Arabidopsis thaliana: one gene and its partners. The protein of the gene in region 2 purifies or fractionates together with the protein of the main gene of each other region. This does not show direct contact. Each region holds a gene or a part of one and is shown on either strand. Other genes may lie near its edges.

The links.
Region 1: the proteins of AT4G17830 (region 2) and AXS1 fractionate together in Arabidopsis thaliana (co-fractionation; one large-scale study listed by BioGRID). This does not show direct contact.
Region 3: the proteins of AT4G17830 (region 2) and GME fractionate together in Arabidopsis thaliana (co-fractionation; one large-scale study listed by BioGRID). This does not show direct contact.
Region 4: the proteins of AT4G17830 (region 2) and AT3G62510 fractionate together in Arabidopsis thaliana (co-fractionation; one large-scale study listed by BioGRID). This does not show direct contact.

What each region holds. Positions count from the first base shown.
Region 1 is NC_003071.7:11,863,725-11,868,832, forward strand, and holds AXS1 (UDP-D-apiose/UDP-D-xylose synthase 1), read right to left. Parts: upstream 3,275-5,108; 5' UTR 3,120-3,274; coding exon 2,844-3,119; intron 2,686-2,843; coding exon 2,593-2,685; intron 2,492-2,592; coding exon 2,384-2,491; intron 2,105-2,383; coding exon 1,990-2,104; intron 1,915-1,989; coding exon 1,781-1,914; intron 1,693-1,780; coding exon 1,591-1,692; intron 1,482-1,590; coding exon 1,389-1,481; intron 1,300-1,388; coding exon 1,164-1,299; intron 1,073-1,163; coding exon 960-1,072; 3' UTR 553-959; downstream 1-552. UniProt on the Arabidopsis thaliana protein: Together with AXS2, catalyzes the conversion of UDP-D-glucuronate into a mixture of UDP-D-apiose (UDP-Api) as the main product and UDP-D-xylose to a lesser extent, via a cycle of oxidation and reduction.
Region 2 is NC_003075.7:9,914,084-9,918,732, forward strand, and holds AT4G17830 (Peptidase M20/M25/M40 family protein), read left to right. Parts: upstream 1-1,729; 5' UTR 1,730-1,832; coding exon 1,833-2,168; intron 2,169-2,373; coding exon 2,374-2,633; intron 2,634-2,709; coding exon 2,710-2,818; intron 2,819-2,894; coding exon 2,895-3,033; intron 3,034-3,115; coding exon 3,116-3,191; intron 3,192-3,271; coding exon 3,272-3,394; intron 3,395-3,484; coding exon 3,485-3,638; intron 3,639-3,744; coding exon 3,745-3,778; intron 3,779-3,859; coding exon 3,860-3,966; 3' UTR 3,967-4,104; downstream 4,105-4,649. Other genes in the region: AT4G17840 (CAAX protease self-immunity protein), read right to left, coding at 4,139-4,288, 4,370-4,458, 4,538-4,609.
Region 3 is NC_003076.8:10,861,486-10,866,670, reverse strand, and holds GME (GDP-D-mannose 3',5'-epimerase), read left to right. Parts: upstream 1-1,724; 5' UTR 1,725-1,945; intron 1,946-2,626; exon of another isoform or gene 2,627-2,645; 5' UTR 2,646-2,646; coding exon 2,647-3,056; intron 3,057-3,142; coding exon 3,143-3,239; intron 3,240-3,316; coding exon 3,317-3,446; intron 3,447-3,532; coding exon 3,533-3,665; intron 3,666-3,743; coding exon 3,744-3,951; intron 3,952-4,043; coding exon 4,044-4,199; 3' UTR 4,200-4,655; downstream 4,656-5,185. UniProt on the Arabidopsis thaliana protein: Catalyzes a reversible epimerization of GDP-D-mannose that precedes the committed step in the biosynthesis of vitamin C (L-ascorbate), resulting in the hydrolysis of the highly energetic glycosyl-pyrophosphoryl linkage.
Region 4 is NC_003074.8:23,121,077-23,124,342, forward strand, and holds AT3G62510 (disulfide isomerase-like protein), read left to right. Parts: upstream 1-1,754; 5' UTR 1,755-1,776; exon of another isoform or gene 1,777-2,112; intron 2,113-2,259; 5' UTR 2,260-2,261; coding exon 2,262-2,384; intron 2,385-2,479; coding exon 2,480-2,698; 3' UTR 2,699-2,715; downstream 2,716-3,266. Other genes in the region: AT3G62500 (F-box protein RMF), read left to right, coding at 85-201, 276-308, 421-591, 691-798, 896-965, 1,053-1,118, 1,204-1,290, 1,394-1,412.

The DNA of each region.
Region 1 (5,108 bases), on a different chromosome or scaffold from region 2:
AGTCACATTTTTCCAATAGAAATTTTTACTTGACTGTATTGGTGAATCGTTGAGTGACTTATGAGGCTTTTGGCATCTTAAAATTTTTGGATTATTATAATATATGTTATGTTGTCATTTTGGAGTGTTAATGGGTTTAAATGAAATATGATTTTTGCTCTTTTCAAGTTCATAAAATTTCGAAGTTGCTGGCTGATTCATGATAAGTACTATACAATGTCGATATGTTATGATCTAATCTTGATCGCAATACTAAGTAGATGGAGTATATTAAATCAGAAATAGTTGAACTAGAATATGCTCTAACAATGTATTTTATGTACATGAGTTAGAAAGAAAGAAAAAAAGACTCATTTTCTTCTAGTTTGCTTTGCCTTCATTGAATTAAAAATTCAGTGAAAACAATTCAAAATATAAAAATAATGATAATGCGTCTGCCGGGAGTCGAACCCGGGTCTATTGCTTGGAAGGCAATTATCCTAACCGTTGGACTACAGACGCTACTTGTGATTTATATATTACAATTTAAAAATAAAATCGAATTTAATTGTCGAGCGTTCCAAAACTACTAGACTTTCTTTCATACTCTGTAGTCCACTTGTTTTTTTTCTGAACGAAACACAATGTGTTACTTGACAGAAGATAATTACATTTGTTCTTGTACTTGTACACATGTAAAACGAAGCATTTTAAAATATACACTCGAACATTTATCATTCGCTACAAACGATTAACCTCTTGCTTTCTGACAGCTCCGACATACATGGCCAAACAAACCAAACAAAAAGAGAAAACTTACAAACGAAAAGGTATACTTGGAACGAACCACCGTGATTATATCGTTTTCTTAAAAAGAAAAAAGAAAAAAAGTTTTCTCTGGGATGAAAAAAATAGAATCGAATAGAGTAAAATGCCAAAATGACGCGTGTTTAACGAGTTTCGTTGGGGTCTTGGAGAGTTTAGGAAGCCACTGGTTTGGATGTTGCCTTCTTCACAGCTTCAGCGTATGTCCTGTGCTGGTAGGTTAAGGTCGACTCGAGCAAGTCCCATAGCGATGTTTTCGGGTTCCATCCTATTTTCAAAGTCCAAAATTCTATCAGAATAGCAATTGATTTTGATTTTAAAGCATATTATCTATCATGTTGGTGATTATGAAGAATTACCGAGTTGGCGGTTAATGATGGTCATGTCTGGGATTCTCTTGTCACTGTCATCATAACCTTCCCCGTAAAACTCTTTGGAGCTAACATCAACCGTTGGGCTCTCAATGGCTCCTTCTCCACTCACTTTTGCGTAAACCTGAAACATGATTCGTTTTGAGAATTGAGAACCAGCGACAGAGAAATCAAACTATTTTCATAGTTTCCTAACTGATCCATCTTCCTCACCTCGGTCATCATTTCAGCGAGCTGTCTTACTGTAACTTCGTTGTTCGGGTTGCCTACGTTGAAGATGTGCCCATTTGCCCTCTCTGGGTTTTCCTGAACCACAAACATACAATGTCATTATAGGTTTTAGTTGAAACTACTTCGAACTTCTAACATTAACAGTTTGTAAACAAAAAGCTATATATCAGGCAATGGAACGTACAATCATCAAAAGGACAGCTTCAATAGCATCATTGATGTAGACGAAAGTTCTCTGTGATTCTCCACCATCTACAAGCTTGAGAGGCTCACGACGTAGAAGATTCTGAAAGATAGATAGAGATGCATTAACTAAAAGCTTGCATATATACACAGACTAGCATTGGGTTATATACTTGGATTTGAACACTTACGTTACTAAAGCAGGCAAGGACACGTGGGACACCTTCGCTAGGACCATCAATGCCGGGGATGAAATCCATCCTAGGTCCAATCCAGTTAAAAGGTCGTACGATGGTGAACTCAAGCCCATTCTCAGCACCCTCAGCTGTCACAAGAAACAAGTGAAGTTAAGTGTAAACCTTTTGTTTTTACCAACATCATCTTAAACAGAAATGCTTACCGTAAACAAGTCTCTCAATCAGTTGCTTTGCACACGCATATGACCACCTCTGCTTCTCAATTGAACCAAATATGCAAGGGGAAATATCTTCTTTAAGAACATAGAAAGCAGGATCCTGTAGAAAGGCACAACAAACAACATCAGTAAACAGTGAACCCAACCTTAGACGAATAATATCAACTATTCCAAGCTTCTATGGGTGTGTGATAGACTAGCGGACTAAAGTCTTAATTCAATTCAAAAATACGTTTAACGAGATCCAATGAGTAATTCATAATGTGGCTATTAAAACGAACGAAAACGTCAGCTTCAACATGTTCCTCAGTACATTCATCGATGAGATTGATAAAAAGACAATAACATGTGGAAAGCGAAATGTACAAAAAGGCATTACATCACGCAGAGGATGATCCTTAGGAAGAAAGCTTCCAATGGTTTTTCCATAAACTTCACAGGTAGAAAAGTGAATGAGACGCTTGTTGTTCTCAGAACAGTATTTCACCTAACAAAACCAACGCATTACACAATCATCACTGTCTCCATCAACTTCAAAAACAAGAGCTAAAGCAAAACAATGAACGAAGCTAAGAAGAAAACACATACAACTGGAAGCGCATCAATGAAATTGCTGTAGATAGTATCAAGAGGACGTGTATTGTAATCAGCTGGAGTACAGATCGCAGCAAGATTTATAATCTGCGAATCCAAAAAGAAACATCAGAATTACATCACAACATCACCGATCTCAATACATTGCGAAACATCTGAATTCCGATAACGAATCAGATCTGAGACTTCTATCATAAACACCGAAGAACAAGAGATCAAAAAACGAAATCGATAAGCATTTTTACCAGATCCGCCATCTTAACAAGACCTTCAAGTCTCGAATCATGCTTAATATTGATACGATGAAACTGGATCCGACCACTCCATTCAACGGTATCAGGCTCAAGCAAGTGTTTGATCTTATCGTTGTAAACATCGAGCGCAAGCACCTTATGTGGCGTCTCGGTCAAGAGCTTTTCACAGAGATGTGAACCGATGAAACCTCCGGCGCCGATCATGCATATTGTCAACGGTTGTATCGGTTTCCCGTCGAGATCCACTCTATTAGCTCCATTCGCCATTTTTTTTCTCAGATCAGAAAAAATAATCAAGTTCTCTGTAGAGAGAGAATCTAAAGAGGAAGAGAGAGTGGTGACGGTGGATATTTAAGAGAGAAGATGCATCGCATGTGAACGGAGGCAAATTGGTTCGTCGAATTTTGAAATCTCACTCTCTGTATCGGCGCGTGGTGTGTACTCGCTTCCACGTGATCTCGTTTAAATTGGAAAGGATGCGATATTTTATTTGTTCGACTAATCATTTTGTATGATTATTAATTATGAATGTTTAGTAGTCTAATAATTGTGTTTAAGAGTTAAGAAAAAACTTCTTTTTAACTAGATAAATCGTTCTTTGTAACTTTCGATTTTTTTTTTTGGGTAAGCCAAGGGAGACAAAGTCTCCCAAGATTTATTAATGAAAAAGAAAATTACATTCGCACTTGACGTGAAACCGTAGCTCCACTAGTGTCATCCAACAAAATAAAACGTAAAGAATCCGGAACCAAACTAAGAGAATGAAAACCTAATGGTAACGAAAATGCATAGTTGGCTAACCCGTCAGCAAGACGGTTAGCTTCCCTATAAACGTGTGAAATACGGACTCTCCAGTCCCTTGATATGAAGTCATGGCACAATCGTACCAGGAAAGACAGCGGATGTACCTCGTTTATCCCTATCTTCAAAAAACCCACAACAATCTCTGAGTCCACCTCAATCTCTAACCGTGTGACTCGTCGCTCCCAAGCAATGTAGAGGCCATAGTACACTCCCCATAGCTCTGCCAAAGGTGCTGAACAAACTCCAATGTTCAGAGCAAAACCTCCTCTCCAAGCTCCTTCCTCATCTCGTAGCACACCACCAGCAGACGCTAAACCCGGATTACCTCTGGAAGCCCCATCCGTATTAAGTTTCCACCAACCTTCCTCGGGTTTCGACCACGCGATCAGTCTTTCCACCCGTTCTCCATGACCCCCACTCAGTGTCCTGACTATCACATGAGCCATGGACGTCTCCCTAGCCAGATCCTTTAAGAAACGCACCCGATCTCGACATTTGTCTTGAACACCAAAAATGTTGCCACACCGCCATTTCCAGGCCCACCAAATAGACAAAGCAAATAAAGTTGACCAAGTACTCTCACAAGTCTTCCGCCTATCACCCAGATTAGCAAACAACCACTCCAATAACGATTGTGTAAAGAACTCTCGGCGCTTACCCGCAGGAACTAAGCGGATCCAAATGCCTTCCATAGCAGGACAATCACGAAGAATATGTATGATTGTTTTTTCAGCTCCTTTACAGATTTGGCAAATGTCCGAATCACTTAGATGCCTCCTCCTCCTCTCAGCATTCGTCATCAGAACTTGCTGCATTCCAAGCCATAGGAAGAGCCGCACTCTCTCCGGTACCACGACTTCCCATACTCTCTTGTAATTTCCGATTGATATCAAGTCAAATTATTAATTTTTATATTGAAAAGACATTTGGAGTATTTTTTTTGGGTTATTATTTCTGATAAAATCAAATTTACATTGAGAAGAATGGCTTTGGGGAATCAATACAAAAAGTCTTTTCTACGTAGAAGAAAACTTGACCCAGCAACATTAGAGATTCCATTTTGCATTACGAAACTTAAACTGGTTAGGAAATAATTTAATTATTTGCCCAAAAAGGGAAATAATTTAAACAAAATATGATTTTATTGACGTTATTTTAATTAAGCTTCAGTCTTAACTCTTAACTCTTAAGTAGTTTCTTAAATAGTGTGTCAAAAAAAAAAGTAAGTTTCTTAATACTGCTTCTAATTTGCATGTCGTAGTATCAGAAGTTTTTTCAACAAAAAAATCATTATGAAGAGAGTTTATATGAATATCGCTAACCATTATGTGGAATTGTGGATAATGGATAAATTTTGAGAACTAATTGGATTCATGTGTTGCCTCACAGTGAGCTGACGACCGTTCGATCATTGATATACATACACATATGATGAAAAAAAGATGCTAATTT
Region 2 (4,649 bases):
ACCATCTCTAGCTAGCATCATACATTTTCTTTATTTTATAATATATATTTTCGACATAGCATGTAGATTTTCTATTTATCTTTTTTAAAATTTACACCAATCATTGATAGTATATGTATTGTAAAATAAAAATAAAAATAAAAATATCTACAACGCATGGTCATATTCAAACTTAATTCTAATATTTACCCAAATGATTTTCTTTTCTAGCGGTTGAATTAACTTAGAAAAAGAACAATCTTCACTTAGAGATCCCAGTGACGATTTGGACGCTTAATTATTAGGGTTATCGACTCTTATTAAGGTTCTTCTAAAGAAAGAAAATGTAATACTTTGAAGATGAAGCAAGACAAACCGAAGAAGACAGCAGATATATATATATATATATATATACCGACCAAGATTCGTGTACGTAAAAGCACAACTGAGATATGAATTTGTTGGCATGCAAATAAATTACAGATGTTTGATGCTAAGACCAAATGAAATTAAAAAGGGATTTAGGGATTTTGTATCTGTGAGAGGAACAGTCCATTGAATCAGTGAGATAGGATACTTTAATTATACTGTCTTCTTCTGCTCAGCATGGTTCGAATCCCCATATCAATCATCCATTGTCTCTTTCACCTTTGTTTTCATAAATGGCAAAAACTTTGGTTGCAATTTGCGACAAAGGATGACGTATTCGGCGCCATTTAAAGTTGGAGTTTTAAAAGTAAAAACTATTACTATATCATGTGAAAATATAATTAGATTGTGAAGTATAATTTTTAGAATTCTGTCGTTTACCTCTTAGCATTGTTATTTGATTAGACTAAACTAATAATTCAATTAAATAACAAATCTAATTTTTTCATAGTCGAATTTCATTAGTTAATCGTTTAGTTGTTTCTCTCGTGGATCTTCACATCATCACATGTGCCAAGAAGTTAATATTAATATATAGTCATTTTCCGAGAAGAGTCTATTTGGGTTGTTTGAGTAAAGCGTGGATATCTTTTTCCAAAGACCTTTTGAGAACTTATCAACCACAATCCCTTATATATGGTTGAAGCTGTGATCACTTGTATTACAATTATATTAACAACTCAATCGGCATTAACACAATTGCTTTCGATTGGATCTATCAGAAATCGGCATTAACACAATTACATTATATATCACGCTAGGTCTGATCAGCTCCATGTCAATCTCGTTGTTTGTGTGCTCTCGGTTTAGTTATGTGACTAAGAAGATGAACCGACTTGGATAATTGATTGCCTGGTTGCAATATTTTCGAAAGTGATAGGATATCAACTGTTTCTTTTCAATCCATAACTTACATACTTAATGATATAACCACATATATATAGAATCGTGTGGCTGTCCCGAAACACGTGACCATACCATATCGTATTCGAATGCACCTACTTATCAACTATTTGAACTGATGTGGATTTAAGAATTGGTCATATATTATCCTCCATGCTTCATAGGGTAATATCCAGAGCGATGTTGCAACAGATCCTTACTTGATGCGTGGCCAATTGATGTTGCTTGTGTGAGTTGCCATAGATCCTAAAGCCAAGGAATACATTTTGGAATCCATAGAAGACATGAACAACATTAAGCAAAGCCTTCTGTAGATTTTTAATTCTTTTTCGTTGTTGAGGATAGTGATATGTACATTAATTAATTTGGTTCCGTATAATTTTTTAATTAATTAGCGTAACACTCCACCCGAAAAGGTCCAAAACCTTAAACAACACACGAAGCTCGTAGACAAGCTGACCAAAACCTTATTAGTTTTGTTTGCAAACCCCAAAAGAAAAAACATCTTTGGTGTAACAAAAATGGCTTCGTCTTCCAAAGCACTGATCGAATCCATAGGCTCTCTTGACAAAGACTCATACGTTTCTCTCTTATCAAAACTCATAGGCGAATCTAAATTCGTCCAGAACAATCCGCCGGAGCTCATCCCTCAAGAGGACCTAATCGTCAAACACGTCCTTGACTCTCTCCGTCCTTATAGCACAGAAACTGGTGGTGGTCCTCTGGTGATCAATCATGTCGCGTATCATTCAGGTAGAGGTAATCTCATCGTTGAGTACCCAGGATCTGTTCCCGGAAAGATCTTGTCTTTCGTCGGAATGCATATGGACGTCGTCACTGCGAATCCTGATGATTGGGTAATTTTGATTGATTCTAAATATGTGATTTTGATCGGTGCCCATTAGAATTAGCTTAAAATCTGATACTGGGTTCTGTTTAATTTCCGATGAACTGATCTGAATTGTTCCAAATTTCAAAGCTTTCTCTGTTTTGTGTACTCTAGGGTTTAATCGGTTACATTGAATTTTGGATTCTCTGGTTGACTTCGGTTTTTGTTCATAGGAATTTGATCCTTTCTCGCTAAGCATAGATGGTGATAAGCTTCGTGGTCGTGGGACAACAGATTGTCTTGGTCACGTTGCTCTTGTCACTGAACTCATGAAGAAACTCGGGCAAGCCAAACCGGCGTTGAAATCAACGGTGGTGGCGGTTTTCATCGCTAGCGAAGAGAACTCTTCCATTCCTGGTGTTGGTGTGGACATGCTGGTGAAAGACAAACTTCTTGATAAGCTCAAATCCGGACCCTTGTTAGTTTCCATTCTGTTAGAAATTTCTTGGGGAGTTTTTAGATGAAAATTGAAGGATGATTGAAGCTTATTGATGTGTATTCTTTTGAAGGTATTGGATTGATACAGCGGATAAGCAGCCGTGTGTTGGAACTGGGGGTATGATACCATGGAAGCTTCAGTTTACTGGAAAGCTTTTCCATAGCGGTTTAGCTCACAAGGTATTTTATATATGAATGGATTACTCTAGATGAAGTTGCAAACTTGGCATTGATCTTTTCTTCTGTTTGTACGAAGGCGATTAACGCGATGGAGTTAGCAATGGAAGGGCTTAAGGAAATCCAAGCTCGGTTCTACAGAGACTTTCCGCCTCACCCACAAGAGGAAGTTTATGGTTTTGCAACACCATCCACCATGAAGCCAACACAGTGGTGTTGTAAGTTTTGGAATCTATAGCATGTTGTGTGCCTAATGACTTTACATGTTGTCTACTTACAATAAATTGTTTGGTTTTGCAGATCCAGCAGGTGGAATCAACCAAATCCCCGGAGAATGTACTGTTTCGGGTGATGTCAGGTTGACTCCTTTCTATGAGTAAGTCTCTTCACACTTGTCTTACTCGTTTCTTCAATGCATTTAGACACACTTTAATGGCTTTTTGGTTGTTTTTGCAGCGTGAAGGAAGTGATAACGAAGTTGCAAGAGTATGTTGACGACATAAACGGTAACATAGAGAGGCTCGAAACCCGTGGTCCTGTTTCAAAATATGTCTTACCAGATGAGAATTTACGGGGAAGGTTTGGACTTTCTTCTTCTCCTGATTCTATTCTTTCTCTCATTTTATTGTCCCTACCGAAATCTTAAAAAGTCTTAATTGTCACTTGCAGGCTCACGTTAAGTTTTGATGAAGCATCAGCTGGAGTTGCGTGTAATCTTGATTCTCCCGGCTTTCACGTTCTATGCAAAGCAACCGAAGAAGTTGTTGGACACGTGAAGCCTTACTCGATCACCGGTACTTTACCTCTAATCCGAGACCTCCAGGTAAACCATTTGATAAACCGTACTTTAACTAGACTCAAGACTGATCTTTCAGAGTTCTCTACAACTTACTCTTTCTAAACCAATGAATCATGCTCTTGGTTTGTAGGATGAAGGTTTTGATGTGCAAACTTCAGGATACGGTATTACAAAACCCAACTCGGATTCTCTCCTTTGCTGAATTTCCTCATCTTTGATCCTTATCTATTTTAATTTTGTTGCAGGTCTCATGGCTACATATCATGCAAAGAACGAATACTGCCTTCTTACAGACATGTGCCAAGGCTTTGATGTCTTCATCAGGATCATTTCTCAACTTGAACAAGTATAAAATCAGATGGAAGATCATAAAATAAAAGCTTCACATAGCTACTCTCTTATTAACTAAATGGTTCTATACATTTACTTTGCTTCTATCTATTTGTACAAGTCAATGGTGGCTCAATACTTCAGACACTTTACAAAATTTAAAACAAAGGATAATGTTTTATACAGTTATTTATCTATCTTGAGTTGTTGTCACCTTCAGTTTCAAGTTTCTGAACACGTAGCCGGAGTCTTTGCTGATGATGGTGTAGTTTCCAGAGACCATTACCCAATACAACGGCTGAGTATATACCATGTGTGATGATAGGAGCAAGAAGATTGTTTGTCTGCAATATTTTCAGTTTGGTATCAACGATTTTACTACGACATGTCGAAAAAAGAAATGCGTGAACAGAAGAAGTAAAAACCTGAATCCATTCAAAGCCGAGGTATAGACCCAAAAGCCCTTCAAGAAGAGGAGAGTAGATTTTCTTCATCTGTCTTCGCTCATACCACGCTGCAAAAAGGAACATAGAATCCTTAGTGTGTGATAGTGAACATATCTAAATCCTTATGCTAAACTGAGTTTTACGAACCTGCAAACAACTTCTTCAGCTCGTCTCGGGCAGAGCGAGTTTTCAAGACCGGTGCCATTATATAAGTTGGATCTAAGAGAAATAACAAAACAAAATCAGCTATGAGGTTAAA
Region 3 (5,185 bases), on a different chromosome or scaffold from region 2:
CATTTATTTTTTCAATTTGTTTTCATGTTTTAATTTATGGTATGTTTACAAATTTTAACAAAGCATATGTTAATCCCCAAAAGTTACAGCTGTATCTGGTATTGTGTTTAAAGATAAGTAAAAATGAACTCGGAACATGATATTTAATGTAATATAACGAGAATAGGAATGACGAAAAAGGAACGACATAGAAGGAGCCAACACGGGATAAAAACATAGCTTTTAGATTACAACAAGTTACAATTTAAGCAAATTAACGTTTGCAATCAAATATGTAACATGTGTTTTCAATTTATACAGCATAAAAATGCTCAAAATAATAAATGTTATTATAGTATGCTTTATAATAGTTAAAATTTAAAAATAAACAAATGTAATTTAATATTTATGAACAAAATATTAAACAATAAGAAGAAAGAAGTCAATTAATTTTGTAATATTTTTATTATATCATATCATATAAAAATATACATGAATTATATTTGTGTTTGTCCCAAACAGGATATAGAGAATTTTTGCTTCCATCACGTTCTGTTTCTAATCGGAATACAAATTTTTTCTCATATTAGAAATGCATTCTCTTATGAGAAATAAATTGGAGAACGAGTAAGATATAATGGAACATGATAAAATTGAATGAGAATTACGCCTATCTCTAAATATTTATATTTCTCGCAAACGTATTTAATCATTTTAATGGTTTTATATACGGTTTGATAGTTTACAAGTTTAATAAAAATCTACCTGACCATTAACTCGAATCAGTTTGATCTCGGTTCGACCGTTTGATTGTTATGAACTTTAAAATACTACTAAAATCATTATTATTTCAAATATTTCAACCAACTAATATAGTTTAGGTTATATATATACTATAACTATATAAATAATTTTTAACATCAATCTAACTTATATTATATTTTAATTTAAGATTTTTTTTTCTAATTTACTCTTCAGTTTCAAACTCCAAAAATGGACTTATGGTTGCTCTTATGTCATAAACAAACATAAATAATATTTTATATTTTTATGTGTACATTATAATTATTCAATACAGTATATATCACTAAAATAACAAAATAATTATATATTTAATAAAAATTTATTACAACACATTTCTTAATATATGAAGATGTACTATTATTTGCAAATACAAAATATGTTAAATAGTGTTTTAGTTAATTAGAAAATAACAAAAATTAAAGTAATTTTTCTCAAAATAATAATTATTTAAAGATTAATTGCTTAATTATTTGAATTTTATAAGAATTTCCTTTTAATGTGTATTATATATATGTATGAATAAGACTAATTGAAAAATCTGTAATAATCTAGTAAAATTTGGACAATTATTTAAATGGATTAGAATCACAACATGACGGTTTCGTTAATAACACGCCAATATAAATATTTTATTAAAAAAACTTCTCAATTAATATATAGAATATACATATATTTATTATTTACAAATATTTTTATATATTGAAGCTAGAAAATAAAAAAATTATGAAATTGTTTGGTGCACCAATAAAGAAAATATTTAGTTTTTTTTTTTTTCTAAACTAAAACATTTCTTATTATCTATCTAAATACGATTCAACAAATAGTAAAAATAATATGCATAATATAAATCATCAAACCTAATAAAAAGTAATAAATCTTCTATAAAATCTCCTATTTTCTAAAAAACTCTCTACAAAAGAAGTATTAATTTTTTTTTTCGAAGGATTTTATTAGTTATAAAATAAATTTAACAGAAAGAGGCACAAATACCAATAGGAGTTGGAAAACTAAAACAACGAGTGGTGTTGCTCTCTCCATCTTCCTCTTCATCTTCTTCTGTTCTCTCTCTATAAATACAAGTTTACTCTTCCTCTTCCTCAAATCTCTGACTCTTCTCTGCATTATCTCTTCGATCTCTCCAACTCTCCAAAACCTTCCTCAGGTAAAAGATCCAATCTTCCTTACAATTCCACTAATCTAGGGTTTTAAAATCCCAGATTCCTGAATCAAAACTTCTCTGAGATCCGAATTTCGCAATTCTGTGTTTTTGGCTAATTTACGCCTCGCAATTTTGTGTTTTTCGCTAACTTACGCCGAATCCAATGCATCCTCTGTCAAAACTCTCTAAATCCCAAATCTTTTTACAGAAATTTATCACAAATTAGGATTCCACAGTGATTTCTAGCTTTCGCATGAGAGATCTTATTGTGTTTAACATATTTCTTTGCAATTTTGTGTGTTTTTGGCTAACTTAAGCGTCGCAATTTTGTGTGTTTTCACTAACTTACACCGAATCCAATGCATTCTCTGTCAAAACTCTCTAAATCCCAAATCTTTTTACAGAAATTAATCACAAATTAGGATTCTACAGTGATTTCTAGCTTTTGCATGAGAGATCTTATTGTGTTTAACAGATTTGTTTTGCAATTTTGTGTGTTTTTGGCTAACTTACGCCTCGCAGTTTTGTGTTTTTCGCTAACTTACGCCGGAATCCAATGCATCAATAATCTTACCTCTGTCAAAACTCTCTAAATCCCAAATCTTTTTTATAGAAATTTATCACAAATTAGGACTCTACAGTGATGTCTAGCTTTTGCATGAGAGATCTTATTGTTTTTAACAGATTTGTTTTGTTAATGTAGAATGGGAACTACCAATGGAACAGACTATGGAGCATACACATACAAGGAGCTAGAAAGAGAGCAATATTGGCCATCTGAGAATCTCAAGATATCAATAACAGGAGCTGGAGGTTTCATTGCATCTCACATTGCTCGTCGTTTGAAGCACGAAGGTCATTACGTGATTGCTTCTGACTGGAAAAAGAATGAACACATGACTGAAGACATGTTCTGTGATGAGTTCCATCTTGTTGATCTTAGGGTTATGGAGAATTGTCTCAAAGTTACTGAAGGAGTTGATCATGTTTTTAACTTAGCTGCTGATATGGGTGGTATGGGTTTTATCCAGAGTAATCACTCTGTGATTATGTATAATAATACTATGATTAGTTTCAATATGATTGAGGCTGCTAGGATCAATGGGATTAAGAGGTTAGTTAGATTTTGTTTTCTTCGGTTTTCGCAGTTTACGGTTTCTTAAAACAAGTTAAAAAGATTGGATTTTTTGTTTGCTTTAGGTTCTTTTATGCTTCGAGTGCTTGTATCTATCCAGAGTTTAAGCAGTTGGAGACTACTAATGTGAGCTTGAAGGAGTCAGATGCTTGGCCTGCAGAGGTTTGTGATTATTTTTTATATGTTCTTGCTAAAGATTTATGAGTCTTTTCTTATGTGATGTTTTGATGCTGATATAGCCTCAAGATGCTTATGGTTTGGAGAAGCTTGCTACGGAGGAGTTGTGTAAGCATTACAACAAAGATTTTGGTATTGAGTGTCGAATTGGAAGGTTCCATAACATTTATGGTCCTTTTGGAACATGGAAAGGTAGTATACAGATAAACAGTTTCCGTACTTTGTGTGAATGATTAGTTGTTTACTATTGGGATTAATATTTGCTTGGATCAACTTAGGTGGAAGGGAGAAGGCTCCAGCTGCTTTCTGTAGGAAGGCTCAGACTTCCACTGATAGGTTTGAGATGTGGGGAGATGGGCTTCAGACCCGTTCTTTTACCTTTATCGATGAGTGTGTTGAAGGTGTACTCAGGTGAGGGTATCTCCTGATGTTGATGAAGTTGTATGTTAGACGTAATTGGCTGATATTTTCGTCATTTTTGTTTTATAGGTTGACAAAATCAGATTTCCGTGAGCCGGTGAACATCGGAAGCGATGAGATGGTGAGCATGAATGAGATGGCTGAGATGGTTCTCAGCTTTGAGGAAAAGAAGCTTCCAATTCACCACATTCCTGGCCCGGAAGGTGTTCGTGGTCGTAACTCAGACAACAATCTGATCAAAGAAAAGCTTGGTTGGGCTCCTAATATGAGATTGAAGGTACCAACATTATTTACTTAAGTAGCTCAAAGACAAGATAATAATCTAATTCTTTTATTACTGATATTGTTTTGACCATAATCGTTAAACAGGAGGGGCTTAGAATAACCTACTTCTGGATAAAGGAACAGATCGAGAAAGAGAAAGCAAAGGGAAGCGATGTGTCGCTTTACGGGTCATCAAAGGTGGTTGGAACTCAAGCACCGGTTCAGCTAGGCTCACTCCGCGCGGCTGATGGAAAAGAGTGAAGTTCACCAAAGTATAAGTCAAGCTCAAATATGGCCTTTTAAGTTCAGCAAAATGTTTAGATATATTTTTAGGTAGCTTCCTATTAAAAAAGCAATAATAAGTGTTTTGGATTTTGGTTCCTTCTATTCTGCTAATCCTTGTTTATGTTTAGTTGAAAAAGTTTGCTTGCATTGTTAAGTCTGTTATCATATTATTGTGGTCCTTTCATTCACAGTATGTATGTTTATCATCATAGTCAAGTTGATGTCGTGGTCCTCTCACGGACCAGTACAAGTAAGTGGCTTGTGTTTTTTCTTGCATCTTATCATCTATTCACACATCTCTAGAGGTTAGGGATCACTCACGGTGACTCACCATTCTTTCTCTTCCATCCACTTCTTTATCCCATTCCTCGGTCAAAAATGTCACACGTAATAAATCATAAGGTTTTAAGTTTATATATTGCTTTTTTTATGCAACTCTCCCGATCAGCAAAATATCTAAAATTTGAGATTTTTATCCATGTTCTAAGATTTGGTCTTAGACTCGAGATGATCCGAAAAATAACGTATTTACTATTTTAAATTTTGAATATACATTTTATCAAAAAACAAATATGAGATAAGGACGATATTATTATAACATAACATATAATGTTTTTTTATTATTTTAAATAATATCAAAGGAAATAAAGCTTAAACTTAATCCAAAACTAAGAAAAAAACCACTAAATCAAAAGGAAAAGCATAGTAAAATCTCAAAACAATTAAGCAACTTTCGGCTCAATTGTTAGCTTCTTTGAATATATATGTTATCAGTGTTTTTTCAAAAATCTTTGACGTTAGCATCATACTACAAATATTCATTTATGCATCTAAAATAAGACAATCGATATATTTCAAATCATCAACTCAACAATCACCCAATTTTTTGTTGTGGTTTTGCTCTTGCTCTCACTCTTCTTCGTGTCGCTTCTCAAATGAGCCCAAATCACCTTTTATATCAT
Region 4 (3,266 bases), on a different chromosome or scaffold from region 2:
ATTGTACAGATCTTTGACTTTGAAGTACTTCATTTGCTGATCACAGCCTCATCTTTATCTGTTTTTTTTACACTGTAATTATAGATTGGATGCCGATTGGTGCCTTTGTGCTTGATTCTCGAACTTCACTCCTGACTGAGAGTTTGAGTGGTCGCCTGAAAGTCCCAAAGGAAGGAACCATAGAACGGATGTTACAAAAATGTCTTATTCATGATCTTCAGAAACTTTGTCAACTGCAGGAAAAACTGTAACATATGGCTTATCTCATTTTCCAGATTTACAGCTTGTGCGACCTGTTTGTGACCTCAGTACCTGTGAGGTAAAAGACACTAATCAACTCTAATCTGTTGCTGAAACTTTTGTATTGATCTCTTGCAATAACTAAATTGCAACTAAGAGTGTTTCTGTTTTACTATGTAGGAACAATGCAAACTCTTGATGCTAGGCACATTGAACTCTTCCTTAGTGAAGGCTACAAAGATGGAAGCTGGGACTACAATCTGATTGGATCTCATAAGTTGCAGAAAAACGCAAGTGCAGCTTGTGGAGCCATATTTGACCTCAAACACCATAAAGAATCTTCATCCTCAGGTAACTTCAAATCTTCATTACTGTTATGTTCCTTTACTTCTCCTCTTTGAATCATTCTCCTTTGTCTCATACAAATTTCACATGAAACCTCTATAATAGGTATTCTCAACCTCAAGTCTTGGACCGGACAGCCAGATATTTCCCAACCTAAAGCAGTTATCGCACCCCATGCAGTTGCTGTTCACACAAGATTGCGAGAAAACGAAGGTATATAACTTTGCATCATCAACCATCTTTATCTAGAAAACACAATTACAAATAATTCTCTTGCCAAAAGGAATTGAATCCAAATTTGTTGTTTCAGTTGCGGAAATCCAATCAGTATTGTGGCATTTGCAAGAGAGTATGGCAGCCCTTCAAATGATGGAGATTGGGTGAGAATATATGTGACCATGTTTGGTGAAATACAGACCTGTAAGAAATGATTACATCTATTTAGCTGACTTGATTTGATGTATTAGGTTTATTGTGATGAGTGTGATGTATGGCCGTATGGGTGCGACAATAATTTATATAAGCGCTTTAAGGTACACCTTCATGCATCTTAACTTTTGATTCTAAGTAATGAACACGCTTGTTGAACTATCACACTAATTTGGTTATCATCTTAAGGAACTGGAGCACAACAGTTACTATTGCCCTAACTGTAAAGTCCAGCATGAGCTTATCAATATTAGAAGAACAGAACTCAGTGTTCAAGTATATTGTTAACTTCTCATGTTCTCCTGATTTTATTGTTTGCATTTCTCCATTGCTATAATATGCGAGATTTCCTCACAACCTCTTTGGGATTGGTCTACAGAAAAGGCGACACAGACTGAGCTGCCTGATGAGATTAATGTAGTCTGTAATGGCATGGAAGGAACATATATCAGAGCATTTCATGCGTACGTATTAGATGTCTCAGCCTTATTTCAATTTCTTCATTTAGAAAGGATCTTATTTGTTTATGAATTATGACTATGCAGCACAATATCGTAAATTGATTTTTTCTCTGAAAACGATAAAAAATCCGTGTTTAATCCTAGGTTTCTGTTATCATTGTCTTGTTGTTTTAGAGATTTGACCAACACATTAATCTTTGAACTATTGTTTCAGAATTGAGTGCAAGTGTGGTTCATGTGGGTCAAGGAAGCAGTCACCAAGTGAATGGGAACGGCATACAGGCTGTAGATACTAGATAGCGTAAGAGTGAAAGACACAATGCTACCTCTAGAAAAATGGCTTTGCATGAAGACTTTGATACTATATGTATCTGTATATGTAGAAGAGTATCAGTTTTATCTAAATGACTAGTCTCCAAATTTGTGGTTTATTGATTTCGTCAGAATGGTAGGCTCTTTAACTGATTTAAGGTGAAAACTACATTGGTCTTTGTTCAGTGTTAGATTTGTCTTTTGTGGGTTTGGAATGGATTAAAGAGGAGTCTTTTACTGGATTTTGTTGAATGCTAGATTTGGGTTTAGTAAACAATGAATCCTTTACTGGTTTTGAAGGATGTTATATTTGAAACTGATTAGAGCTAAACCCTCTATTGCTTAGTGGTTCTTAATTTAAGGGTTTTGCCGCAGCTTCCCTAATTTAAGCTTGTTTTCTAATACAAAGTACAAAAGCAGTGTGTTCGTCAACTATCTTCTTACTCTGTTTTCGTTTAGAGAGTTTTTGCAGAGATGAGGAGAACTATAACAATGGTGATAAAGATGTCAATACTTATGATATTGATTTCATCAATGGTGATGAATATGGTCGAGGTTGAGGTTGACCAGATTGAATCATGGGTCAAGGACTTCCAGGTTTCATTCTCTTTTTCACACATTCACACAAGCTTTATGTAAAAGAAGTATATATGAAATCAATATAACCTAACCAAAGAAAATGTTTTCTCTAGGATGGAAAAGCTGCTGTCCACAAAAATTCTCAACCTATTCCAGCTGAGAACAACGAACCAGTGAAGCTTGTTGTCGCCGAGAGCCTTGACGACATAGTTCAGGTCAGCGAGCGGAAACGTTGTAGTATACGAAGGAGACAGGACAAAGGAAGACTTCATAGTTCAGGGTTGGTGATACTAGCAGAAGATGATGAGGAAGAACACGAAAAGATGGATTAGTTAAAGCTTCCAAAAACTGAATCAAAACAATCATTATTACATTAGTTTGTGGTTGTGGATTAGCAATGTTTAAGTAGTTTGATCTATCAATCTCCTGAATTTCTAGATTGCAGATATTTTATCTCATTTTGCTGTCTCACTTGATTCGTGGGTTATATTGCTTAATTTGATTTAAACTCTGTTTTGTGTGGTTACATAGGACTCTGTTTCGCCTGTGTATAGGAAGAGAGTAATGACGTTGAGTGTACAGAGTTGGAGAAGGGTTTCGAGAAAAAATTGTAATTCTTGAATTCGTCTCAGCTTGAGAATAGTGAGTCCATGGACTTTTACCGGATATGAGTTGTACAATGCAGAGACTGATCCCGAACTGAAAGCTGTTATGAGAGGACATGGGAAAAGCCATTGGCTTCGTTTGACCGGAAAGAATTTATGAGTAGTAAGTAGCATATCTAAAGTAAACGCCATGCAAACAAAGAAAACAATGATGAAGATATAAGAGCATCCACATTGGTGGGCTTTTAGCAAATGTTCTTAACAATAATTTTATAATTTATTTTGAAGTTAAGAG